Rattus norvegicus: one gene and its partners. The protein of the gene in region 1 binds, or shares a complex with, the protein of each later gene. Links are inferred from orthologs where the notes say so. Each region holds a gene or a part of one and is shown in the gene's direction. Other genes may lie near its edges.

The links.
Region 2: the proteins of Lck (region 1) and Cd8a are in contact, whole or in part, in an NMR structure (PDB 1Q69), measured with the Homo sapiens proteins. The link is inferred for Rattus norvegicus from reciprocal best matches to the Homo sapiens genes LCK and CD8A. Residues at the interface, in NP_001036236.1 of Homo sapiens: Cys20, Asn22, Cys23, Tyr25, Pro26, Ile27, Val28; in NP_001139345.1 of Homo sapiens: Arg212, Arg213, Val214, Cys215, Lys216, Cys217.
Region 3: the proteins of Lck (region 1) and Cd4 are in contact, whole or in part, in an NMR structure (PDB 1Q68), measured with the Homo sapiens proteins. The link is inferred for Rattus norvegicus from reciprocal best matches to the Homo sapiens genes LCK and CD4. Residues at the interface, in NP_001036236.1 of Homo sapiens: Glu15, Ile17, Val19, Cys20, Asn22, Cys23, Tyr25, Pro26, Ile27, Val28; in NP_000607.1 of Homo sapiens: Ala429, Arg431, Ile435, Leu438, Leu439, Lys443, Thr444, Cys445, Gln446, Cys447.

The regions. Positions count from the first base shown.
Region 1 is NC_086023.1:147,172,111-147,174,818, reverse strand, and holds the end of Lck (proto-oncogene tyrosine-protein kinase LCK), read left to right. Parts: intron 1-1,553; coding exon 1,554-1,756; 3' UTR 1,757-2,177; downstream 2,178-2,708. UniProt on the Homo sapiens protein: Non-receptor tyrosine-protein kinase that plays an essential role in the selection and maturation of developing T-cells in the thymus and in the function of mature T-cells. Plays a key role in T-cell antigen receptor (TCR)-linked signal transduction pathways.
Region 2 is NC_086022.1:104,922,674-104,927,026, forward strand, and holds the start of Cd8a (T-cell surface glycoprotein CD8 alpha chain precursor), read left to right. Parts: upstream 1-1,442; 5' UTR 1,443-1,448; coding exon 1,449-1,497; intron 1,498-1,583; coding exon 1,584-1,949; intron 1,950-2,429; coding exon 2,430-2,543; intron 2,544-2,710; coding exon 2,711-2,821; intron 2,822-3,953; coding exon 3,954-3,984; intron 3,985-4,353. UniProt on the Homo sapiens protein: Integral membrane glycoprotein that plays an essential role in the immune response and serves multiple functions in responses against both external and internal offenses. In T-cells, functions primarily as a coreceptor for MHC class I molecule:peptide complex.
Region 3 is NC_086022.1:159,378,654-159,383,016, reverse strand, and holds the start of Cd4 (T-cell surface glycoprotein CD4 precursor), read left to right. Parts: upstream 1-1,555; 5' UTR 1,556-1,576; intron 1,577-4,363. UniProt on the Homo sapiens protein: Integral membrane glycoprotein that plays an essential role in the immune response and serves multiple functions in responses against both external and internal offenses.

The DNA.
Region 1 (2,708 bases):
CTTTCTTCAGACACACAAGAAAGGGCATCAGATCCCATTACAGATGGTTGTGAGCCACCATGTGGTTGCTGGGAATTGAACTCAGGACCTCTGGAAGAGCAGTCAGTGCTCTTAACCGCTGAGCCATCTCTCCAGCCCAAGAATATTTTTTTTTTTTGGTTCTTTTTTTCGGAGCTGGGGACCGAACCCAGGGCCTTGTGCTTCCTAGGCAAGCGCTCTACCACTGAGCTAAATCCCCAACCCCAAGAATATTTTTTTAAAAGAAGTTTGCTGAGCGTGTTGGTACATCCTTTAATCCCAGAATTTGGGAGGCAGAGGCAGGCAAATCTTTTTTTTTTAACTGTTGTTTTTGATTTTTTTTTTTTTTTTCGGAGCTGGGGACTGAACCCAGGGCCTTGCACTTGCTAGGCAAGAGCTCTACCACTGAGCTAAATCCCCAACCCTGTTTTTGATTTCTTGAGACACTGTTTCTCTGTAGAATTCTGGCTGTCTTAGAACTCTGTAGACTAGGCTGGCCTCAAACTCACAAAGATTCTTTACCTCTGAGTGATGGCACTACTCCCATCTTGACCCCCTTTCTTTCTTTCTTTCTTTCTTTCTTTCTTTCTTTCTTTCTTTCTTCCTTCCTTTCTTTCTTAAGACTTACTTATGTATATGAGAACACTGTCTTCAGAAACACCAGAAGAGGGCATCAGATCCCATTACAGATGGTTGTGAGCCACCATGTGGTTGCTGGGATTTGAACTTAGGACCTGTGGAAGAGCAGTCAGTGCTCTTAAAGATTTATTTATTTATTTATTTATTTATTTATTTATTTATTTAATGTATACGAGTACACTGTAGCTGTCTTCAGACACACCAGATCTCATTACAGATGGTTGTGAGCCACCATGTGGTTGCTGGGAATTGAACTCAGGACCTCTGAAAGAGCAGTCAGGGCTCTTAACCACTGAGCAATCTCTCCAGCCCGAGCAGTCAGTGCTCTTAACCACTGAGCCATCTCTCTAGCACCTTGGATCCCATTTCTTAAAGGTTCTACAATCTCCCACTAATGCCGTGAATTGGGGCCAGGCTTACAGCACGTGGGGAGACATTCAACATCCAAGCTGTAGGCTGGGGTTGTAGCTCAATAATGGAGTGCCCATTTAATGTGTGTGAGGTCCTGTGTTCAATTCCAAGTACTATAGAAGTAGATGATAGATAGATAGATAGATAGATAGATAGATAGATAGATAGATAGACAGACAGACAGACAAGCAGATAGACAGACAGACAGAGCAAGCCAGCTGTGGTGGTACATTTCTTTAATCCTAGCATTGGGAGGCTGAGGCAGGGTCTCTATAAGTTTGAGGCCAGCCTGGTCTACAGAGTGAGTTCCAAGATAGCCAGAGCCACACAGAGAAACCCTGTCTCAAAAACAAACAAACAAACAAACAAACAACAACAGAAAAAAAAGAGAGAAAGAAAGAAAGAAAAGAGAAAAATCCAGTTTAGCATTAGCTTTGCTCTTAGGTTTCCAAAGCTTAGAGGCTGAGGTTCCGTCTGCCTTCCAGGAATGACCAACCCTGAAGTCATTCAGAACCTGGAAAAAGGCTACCGAATGGTGCGACCTGACAACTGCCCGGAAGAGCTGTACCACCTCATGATGCTGTGCTGGAAGGAGCGCCCAGAGGACAGGCCCACGTTTGACTACCTTCGGAGCGTTCTGGATGACTTCTTCACAGCCACAGAGGGCCAGTACCAGCCCCAGCCTTGAGGCCTTGCGGTCCCAAGATCCTCCCCTATCCCTCTGGAGTTCTTGTGCCCTATCCATGCGGCCTGTGCACACGTGGACTCCGACTCGGCACGTGAAGCCTGTGCGTGTGCCATACATAGCCGTTTTTGTCTCATACACACATCCGTAGTTATGTGGGTTCTACACATGTGCCTTATACCCATGGAACATGTGAGTCTAAGTCTTAGAGACCACCTAAGGTGTCTCTTTCCATTCCATTTTCTGAAACCACAGAGAGGAGAAGGCTTGTGATTGCTGCATGTGTCTGTCTACCACTGCCTTTCTGGGGGCCTCCAGGAAGGCCCTCCTTGTGGGCTGCCATCCAATCTAATGTCTCTGTGTGCTGTGCCTTGGTGGTACCACACACCAGGAGCTCAATAAAAGTCTGTTCAATTAAGGCTGTACAGTTTTCTACCGCACACTTCATTTCTTTGTGGCAGATAGTGGGGGGGTCGGATGAGAGAGACTGGGGTTGCTGGTGGACCACCTGGCCTAGGTTCTCTTGCTGTGATCGCTACAGGCTGTTTCTCCTGTAATGTAAGTGTGTCTCCACTGAACAAGGGAAGCACCATTACCATGTAAAACATGGTGTGAAGCCCTGGTGGTTGGGAGTCAACCCCCCGGAGACTGGGGAGTCCCTACACATACCATGCACACCACCGGAGTTAAACAAGAATAGTTTATTGAGTGCATACCATAATACTGGATGTCCAGGTCCTCAAGAGGGAAAAACATAATTGTGACACTAGTCTGCTCTCAGAGTAGACTTTTTATAGGAAAAAACCAGGTTCAAAAGTTTAAAGGGGGCTGGAGAGATGGCTCAGCGGTTAAGAGCACCCGACTACTCTTCTCGAGGTCCTGAGTTCAATTCCCAGCAACCACATGGTGGCTCACAACCATCTGTAAAGAGATCCGATGCCCTCTTCTGGTGTGT
Region 2 (4,353 bases), on another chromosome or scaffold:
TACCGTCCAACCTTGTTTGTGTAAACTGAATGTCGTGGCTATACCCGGCACTGTGAAAGCTACAGCAACCAGACTGATACTGGGCAGAACTCTGATGTGAAGGCAGAGAATGCCAGGCAACCTGCCTCAAACTAGAATCAAGCAATAACGTGTGAGGTGCACCCTGAATGGGATTCTAAGTGGAAAACTCTACTAACTGCAAGCCATAGACAATCAAGAGGAAAGCACAATCCCGAGACTGGCAGCTTTCAGGACGGTAGTGAGCAAGAAGGAATGAAGTATATGTGTGCCAGGGACAGAGAAGAGTTAAATGCCTTCCCCAAGATCCAGCCAGGACACACACATGCATACATGCAACAGAGAAAAATCAAAGGTCCAAGTCAGAGGGCAGGGGCCCTGGCATTTGCCAGGCAGAGAGCAGCAAGAGCTTGGAAACTCAGGAGTAAGTAAGCAACAAAGGAAACATGTCTGTGAGGCAGCGACTTGCAGGTACATAGCAAAGCCAAGGACAGCAGCTTGAGGGAAGCCAGCACCTACCAAGGGCTAGTCCCCAACCAAGTCAGGGGGTTGTTTTCATCTAGCTCTGCTGGTCATGGGTGGTGCTGTCAGATCCCCTGGATAAGAATGAGGATCAAAGTATGTAGTGGGATCATCCAATTGGAGAGAATTTGTTGTGGAGTCTGTTGCCATGGTTCTAGAAGGGATGAGACTGGGAGGTGAGTCTTGCCCTCAGGGTGGCAGGCCAGGGAAGGATATTGTCAGCAGCTAAGAGTGCCACTCAAGGTTCCTGTTGAACTGCCCCTCTTGCAAATCCCTTTGATAAAAGGTGTAAGGCCCTTTTAGTTAATGTCTGGTCTACTTTGCTGGAATTCTGTAAGTTCTCTTTCCATTCAACTGCCAGGCAAAAAGCAAAAGGACAAAAAGACACTATTGCCAGCAAAAGAAGTAGAAGGGCAGGAAGGTCTAGAATTCAAGGCCAGCCTTTGCTGTAAAGTGAGTCTGAGGCAAGTTTGGGCTCCCCAAGACCTTGTCTACAAGAAAAAGAGAGTGGACACCCCTCTCCCTTCAAGTCCTGTCACTCTCATGTTATTTTACTAAGATTTCCTCTTTCTCCTTCTTTCAGCTGTTCTTGCAGAAGAACAATTGCCAAGGGCCCCTTTCCAAGCATTTCTCTTCCCCCATATCTCAGTTTTCAACTATCCCCTCTTGCTGTGCAAGGCCCCATTCTCTAGGTTCCCAGGCCCCTAGAGGGTGATAACTTCGAAAAGGAGGCTAACACTCTTTGGTGAGAGCATTGGGTGACATCATATCCTCATATAGGAAATCAGTTCTGTCTGCAGCCTGCTAAGGTTTTCTCACCCTCCACTCCTCCCCCCAACTCCCTCCCTGTTCCTGGGCCCCTCCCCTAGAGCCCTAGCTTGACCTAAGGTGCTGGTGGGACGCACACCATGGCCTCACGGGTGATCTGCTTTCTGTCGCTGAACCTGCTACTGCTGGGTGAGTTGATGATCCTGGTGGAGGGGGGCTGGAGCACATCAAGGGTTCGGGACGCCTGACTCAGCCTTCTTACCTGGCACCTGCAGATGTTATCACTAGGCTCCAGGTTTCCGGACAGTTACAGTTGTCACCAAAGAAAGTGGACGCTGAAATTGGCCAGGAGGTGAAGCTAACATGCGAAGTGCTGCGGGACACTTCGCAAGGATGCTCTTGGCTCTTCCGGAACTCCAGCTCCGAACTCCTCCAGCCCACCTTCATCATCTATGTATCTTCATCCCGGAGCAAGCTGAACGATATACTGGATCCGAATCTGTTCTCTGCCCGGAAGGAAAACAACAAATACATCCTCACCCTGAGCAAGTTCAGCACTAAAAACCAAGGCTACTATTTCTGCTCAATCACCAGCAACTCGGTGATGTACTTCAGTCCTCTGGTGCCGGTGTTTCAGAAAGGTTTGGGAGCGGAGGTCCCTTCCCCTGGGTTTTAAGGGTTACATCTGAACAGATTTCACACTTAGATTCCCTCTTCTTAAATCTCTTGGGGTCCCTTGGCGGCTACACTAGCCCCATTTTACAGACCAGAAAACTGAGGCTGAGGTGCTGGATGGGATTGGAAGTAACTTTTAACGCCCTGGATCTGGAATGGAGTCAGGATTCATGTGTAATCCTGCCCCTCTTGGCTCCAGGATAGAGTTCTGGTATTGACTCCAGCTTTCGGTTGATGGAGGGCCGCAGCCGCTAAGCTGCTGGATCTGGTCTAGGCGCATTGGCCCCAAATCACACTTGGTTCCGCGTGTGCGAGCGTATCCAGGAGTCCCTTCTTCCGGTAGTTAAAGCCAGAAAAAGGCTCCTTCTTGAGTAAAGGATAAGCGGAAAGCGGCTTGGGCATCCACAACTCCAGCCTGACCCGCAGGCACCCTGTTGCTTTTGCAGTGAACTCTATTATCACCAAGCCGGTGACGCGAGCTCCCACACCAGTGCCTCCTCCTACAGGGACACCCCGGCCCCTACGACCAGAAGCTTGCCGACCCGGGGCGAGTGGCTCAGGTTAGGTGACCTCAAGGTCAGCGATTGGGGTGGGCAGATAGCCTGGGAAGTTACTTGTGGAGGAAAAATCTGATCTTAGAGAGAGACCTGGACCCGGAGAAGTACTGGGAGCAGGGTTGGGGCTGTCGCAGCCGGTTTCTAAATTCCATTCACTTGGATCTTGTCAGTGGAGGGAATGGGATTGGGCTTCGCCTGCGATATTTACATCTGGGCACCCTTGGCCGGAATCTGCGCGGTTCTTCTGCTGTCCCTGGTCATCACTCTCATCTGCTGCCACAGTAAGTTCTGGGGAGTCCCCGCTTGGAGGAGATTGCTTTGTGCTCCGGGAGGAGTCAGTGCTTTGGTCGGGCTCCAGACAGCCCTTGAGGGAGATTAAGTTTAGGTTGGGGCGGGGGTGGGGAGGGGGAAGGGGCGACCAGGGGAGGGGGTGGGCGCTGCTCCAGCCGACCCGTAGGACCGGTGCAGTGGATTCTTTCTTGAAGGCAGGAAACAGGTAGGCCACCCCGCTGCTCTTTCCACCCTCTGGGAACTTATCGGAACAGAACCCTTTTCCGGGACCTCCAGGAGCTGATGAAGCAGAAGCTAGCACAGCCAAGATAATTTAAGCACACTAGGGAGGGAGCCTATGTAGTCCTGAGACCCGGGTCCAAGAAGGCTGAGTCCCACCTCACAAACCGCTCACTCCTCTGAGTCTATACAGGTGATTACACCAGCCAGGTCTACAGATTCCCAGATCCACTCACGTCTGCACTTACAATGCCTCTTCCTCACCAAGGAAGGGTTTCATTTCATGTTGTCTAGGCTAGCCAAAAACTAGTAGGTAGCTTAGGCTAACCCCAAACTTCTGATCTGATCCTTCTGCCTCCCTCCATTTGGGAGTGCTGGATGACAGGCATAGGCCACCAAACCAAATTTAAAATGTTTTATTTTATTTATGTATTTATAAAGGTCTATATAAGTACACTGTAGCTGTTTTCAGACACACCAGAAGAGGGCATCAGATCTCATTACAGATGGTTGGGAACCACCATGTGGTTGCTGGTATTTGAACTCAGTACCTCTGGAAGAGAAGTCAGAGCTCTTAACTGCTGAGCCATCTCTCCAGCCCTTATTTATACATTTATGTATTTATGTATGTATGTATTTATTTATTTTTAGAGATAGGGTTTCTCTGTGTAGCCCTGGCTGTCTGGGAGCTTGCTCTCTAGACCAGGCTGCCCTTGAACTCACAGAGATCCACCAGCCTCTGCCTCCCAAGTGATGGGAGTGACTACAGGAAAGAGTAGGCAACATAGTGTTCACTCCAAGTCTGAAGAATTCTGAGCCTCAAAGATCTGGAGAAGAGGAAGCTATTAAAACAGTATCTGGAGACAGCTAGAGGGTATTCACTCTCCCTTCTTCCTTGTCTAGGGAACCGAAGGCGTGTTTGCAAATGTCCCAGGTGAGTAAAGTCTCTGAACTGAAGTTCTGCTCACCCTGGGCAGCTGTGGGACCAGTGGCATGGCTGGTGGTTTGGGACTCCTTCCCAGCGGGAGGTCATACCAGTGAAGTCCTGGTGGCAGGGGACTAGGAGTCAGCCAGTACCTGAACAAGGAGCAGCAGAATGCTGGTGAGGTATTGGAATTCATTCCAGAGAAAAGGAAGGAGCACAGAAGGTCTCAGCGGGAGAGCAGCGGGAGATTGTGTTGCTTGGGGTGGACAGAGAGTAGAAAGACAAAAGCCTGGAAAAGGCTTTGTTATCTCCACGGTCTGGAGTGAGCTCGGTTGCTCGGGCAAAACAATCTCTTATGTTTTTTTTCTGAATACTCAC
Region 3 (4,363 bases), on another chromosome or scaffold:
GGGCTTTTTTTTTTAAAGATTTATTTACTTATTTATTATACAGAAGTACACTGTAGCTGTCTTCAGACACACCAGAAGAGGGTATCAGATCCCATTACAGATGGTTGTGAGCCACCATGTGGTTGCTGGGATTTGAACTCAGGATCTCTAGAAGAGCAGTTAGTGCTCTTAACTACTGAGCCATCTCTACAGTCCCCCTGACATGGGCTTTTAAAACCTTAAAGCCCTCCCTCAGTGAAATACTTCCTCCAATAAGGCCACACTTCTTAATCCTTCCAATCCTTTCAAATGGTGCTGCTTTCTAGTGACTAAGCATTCAAATAGATGAACCTATTAGGGTAATTCTTAGTCAAATCACCACAGTCTGGTAAACACCCGAGTGGAGTGGAGATGTCCTGCAGGAAGGTGGGCGTGTACCTGCAGAGTTTAGGTGAGATCTGGGCTAGAGGAGAATATGGGGAATATTAGCAATAGTATGCTCCCCATTCATTCCTGTCTTCTCAGATGTCCATATTTCGATCCAGGCCTCTCTGCCGCAGCAGGCCAGATACACGGTCTGCTGATCACAGCCCTGGAAGAAGCCACATTGCACAGATGTGCTCAGGGGTATGTAATGAGAATCCCTCGGAGGGATCACCACAGCTGCTCTCAAATTGTCACTAAAGGAAGTGTAGCATGTTTGCTTACCTGTCCAAAAACAGTGACCCTACTCTCCTGTAAGGGGGGGTATACAGTCTAAATGGCTTCTTCATGCCTTTTCCATAGAGGAGATACACAAGATTCTCATCATGCATGCTTTTAGCATCTTGGCCATATGCTACCCACTTGGTCTTCAGCAATGGCGGAAGGGAAAACCACTATGCCTTTAGCTGTCACAGAGCCATGTTGACCCTTGCTGTTTCCCTCTAGGCTCTCTGAACATCTCTAAACTGCTGACTTAGTGGATTGGTTGGGCAATGAAATCTAAATTTTCCATTGATGAAATTTTTTGACAACTTTTTTTTTTCTTCTTCTTTTTTTTTTTCGGAGCTGGGGACCGAACCCAGGGCCTTCCGCTTGCTAGGCAAGCGCTCTACCACTGAGCTAAATCCCCAACCCCTACAACTTTTTATTTTCTTTTTGATGTGGCATTACTACATAAACAGCCCAGTCTGGCCTTGAGCTTGTGATTCTTCGGCCTAAGTCACCTAAGTGCTGGGGTCACAGTTATGTGCCCCTAAGCCTTTCCTCAGGCCAGCCCGACCAGGCTGTGCCAGCCTTTTTACTTCCCCAAACAGCATTGACATTCCAAACTGCAGCCTGATTCTGCTTGGTTATTTCCAATGACTTTGGCATTTTTAATTTGTCAACTTCCCCAACAACTGGGGGTAGAAGGGAGGGACTCCTGAGGGCTGGCTCACGTCCGCCGCTGTGTAGAGGAGCCTCGCCACCAGGCTTCCTGTCTTTTCATTTACGAACATCTGTGAAGACATAGCAAGACTGTCTTCTTCACTAGGCACCTGTCTGCAAGGCCTCGAGCCCTCCTATAGACACACCTGTGCAAGAAGCAGAGCGAAGAAGGAAGGACTGGCCAGAGGTAAGAGGGACGTGTTCAACTTCGTTCTTTCGAGGAGCTGGAAGGGGCAGCCGATGTGCTGGAATGTTCTGGATGCGGTTCTCTGTTCCCAGTTGTGGCCTGGAGTTCTCCCATACTCCTCTTAGAACAGGTCATGGACAGTGACCTCCCACTGGAATCATGAGGTTCGAAAGGCTCGGCAGTAAGCATTGCTCATCTTTGCCAGTCACTGCCCGCCAAGCATAGTTTAGTGCTCAGAGCAGTAGGTGTCCCCTCGACGCACCCCAGCTAGAATGCAAAGTCAGAGGGGTGATGGCTGGGAGCTAGAAAAGGCAGCTGGGAGACGGTGGGAAGGGTGAAGCCGGGGAGAGAGAAAATGCAGAAGTATTTAAGCAAAGGACAGAAAATCAGAAAGAAGGAACAGATATTGAGAATGGTGGAGACACTAAGAAATGAAAAAAGAAACCGTGAACACAAGAAAAACAAATAAAAAGCAGAGTAAAAAGGTGGACTACATGCCATTTAAAAAAAAAAAAAAACAAAAAACAAAAAACAAAAAACAAAAACTACTTTGCAAAACACCAAGGATCATACACTTAAGAGCAATGCAAGCCACATGGTCCGTTTTTGGCCTCGCTCAGTTTCTTCTGTGTTCACGTGAGCTGTGGACCTCTTGTTATCTTCTGTGGACTTTTAGGATCTTGGTTTGTTGTGTTTTGTTTCTGAGGTCTCACTGTGTTGCCTGGGCTGGTCTCAATATCCTGGGCTCAGGTGATCCTTTTACCTCAGCTTTCCTGGTAGCTGGGATGGAGGCACATGCTGCTACATCTGGACTGATACTTAGGGTTTTTGAAATGTTCTAAGGGGACTGACTCTGTTTTAGTTACCCTGAGTTAGGAGATGGGGAAGGTAATTTATCAGAAAATGTTAAAACTGACCTCTTATCTATGAATTGCTGTAAAGGGATACTCTCCTCTCTCTCTCTCTCTCTCTCTCTCTCTCTCTCTCTCTCTCTCTCTCTCTCGTTAGAATAATTAATTCTAAGAGAATTCGTCTTGGCTACAGACCCCAGTGGTCTTGGTACAAAGTGGGCATAAGGTAGAACTCGGGGCTGGGGATTTAGCTCAGTGGTAGAGCGCTTACCTAGGAAGCGCAAGGCCCTGGGTTCGGTCCCCAGCTCCGAAAAAAAGAACCAAAAAAAAAAAAAAAAAAAAAAAAGGTAGAACTCTATTTCTCAAGACAGGGTGAGCTGTTCAACTCTGGCCCCCTGACTTCAGACCCTCAGACCTTTCTCCTCTCCTACAGCCACATGGTCTTGAAGTCCTGTTGTACCCATGGATGATGTCCTTCAGTTCATAGACTTGTTCCCGGAGAGTGGTTTCCTGAGGTTCAGTCTGATTCTTCATAATAGAAAGGTTCCGTCTTGATAATTCAAAAACTCTATTGAGTGGAATAGAGGAATGTCCTGGTCTTGTAGGGAACTTTATTTATTTATTTTATTTATTTAATGTCGTAAGCAAGGCCGGGAGAACCTGATGACAGAGACCAGTGCTGTTTCATGTTCTGACCATTTCTGGTGCTATCTGAGATTCTGAAGGTTGATACAAAATGGCCGCCCCGCTAATGAAAGATCCCCTGAGGAGCCAGATACTCAGAACCAGTTTTCCCTTTCAACCGGAGGCCCTCATAGAAGAGGCCTGCCTCTAAGTGCAAAATCTTCCCCCACAATCAACCATACTAGGCAGAGGCTCGAAGTGGCCTTGGGTCTTGCTCTTGACCACAGTGGTGAAGAGGCAGTGGTTGGGAGTTGGGTGGCCATGTCTGGCATGTCTTAGACACGTAGTAAACATTTGTTGGGTTAAATACCTTGGATGGAGATGGGAAATGTTATGATGGAGGGGAGGATGTGTATACGAGCATCTGTAGGGCGTGCATGTTCAGTGCTTTCAGAGACAAGAGCAGCAGGGGGTACAGACCCCCCCACCCACTGCCACCCACCCTTTGCGCGTGGGCATCTGAGGCAGAGGAGAGGGTGGCAGAGGTTGCAGCCACTGAACCACAAGGGTCGCTTAGAGGGTCACATCTCTAGGAAGTTTATACAAAGCTAGTCAGCAGAGGAAGGGTGTGTGGTGAGGGGGCACAGCCCACAACTGGGCTAGAGTGGGCTGACTGGGGACCATGAGGAGAAGATGAAAACGCCTTCAGGACCACAGGCTGTCGTTGTGGTGGGGCTGTGCTGGAGCTGTGCCCTCCTCTCCCATCTCTGGGGGCCCTGTGAGGGTGGCAGGAACCCCAAGCATCTTGAAAGGTGTGTGGTATGTATTGTCACTCGGTAACATCCCTTGTGTGGTCTCTCTCTGTGTTCCTTTGGTGTTGTGTTCTCTGCATGCATCTTGCCTTCCACAATCCCTTCATTTCTATGCCTCTCCCCTGTCATTTCTGACAGGCCCTGTGCTTTTTGTGTGGTAATGGATCCTGTGAAAGGTGGCTGTGGCTTTGCTGACCTTTTTCTGAGTCTCTTTCTCCTTCGCTCCTGTCTTCCCTCGAGGCCTCTGTGGTTGGTTTTTGCTGTTGTTGTTATTTGTTTTTTGTTGTTGTCTTGTTTTGTTTTGTTTGTCTAGAAAACATGTCCACCTTCTTGGTCCACTGTGTCGTCCCCCCTGCCCCGCACCCTCTCTGCAGCCAATCCCTCTCACATCATCCCCTCGGGTCCAGCCTATATTCTGCAGCTTCCTGTCAGATCAAAGCTCCTGGAAGACTTGCTACTGGCCTGCCGGAAGCTAGGCAGCTTGTTTACAGGGTAGAAGG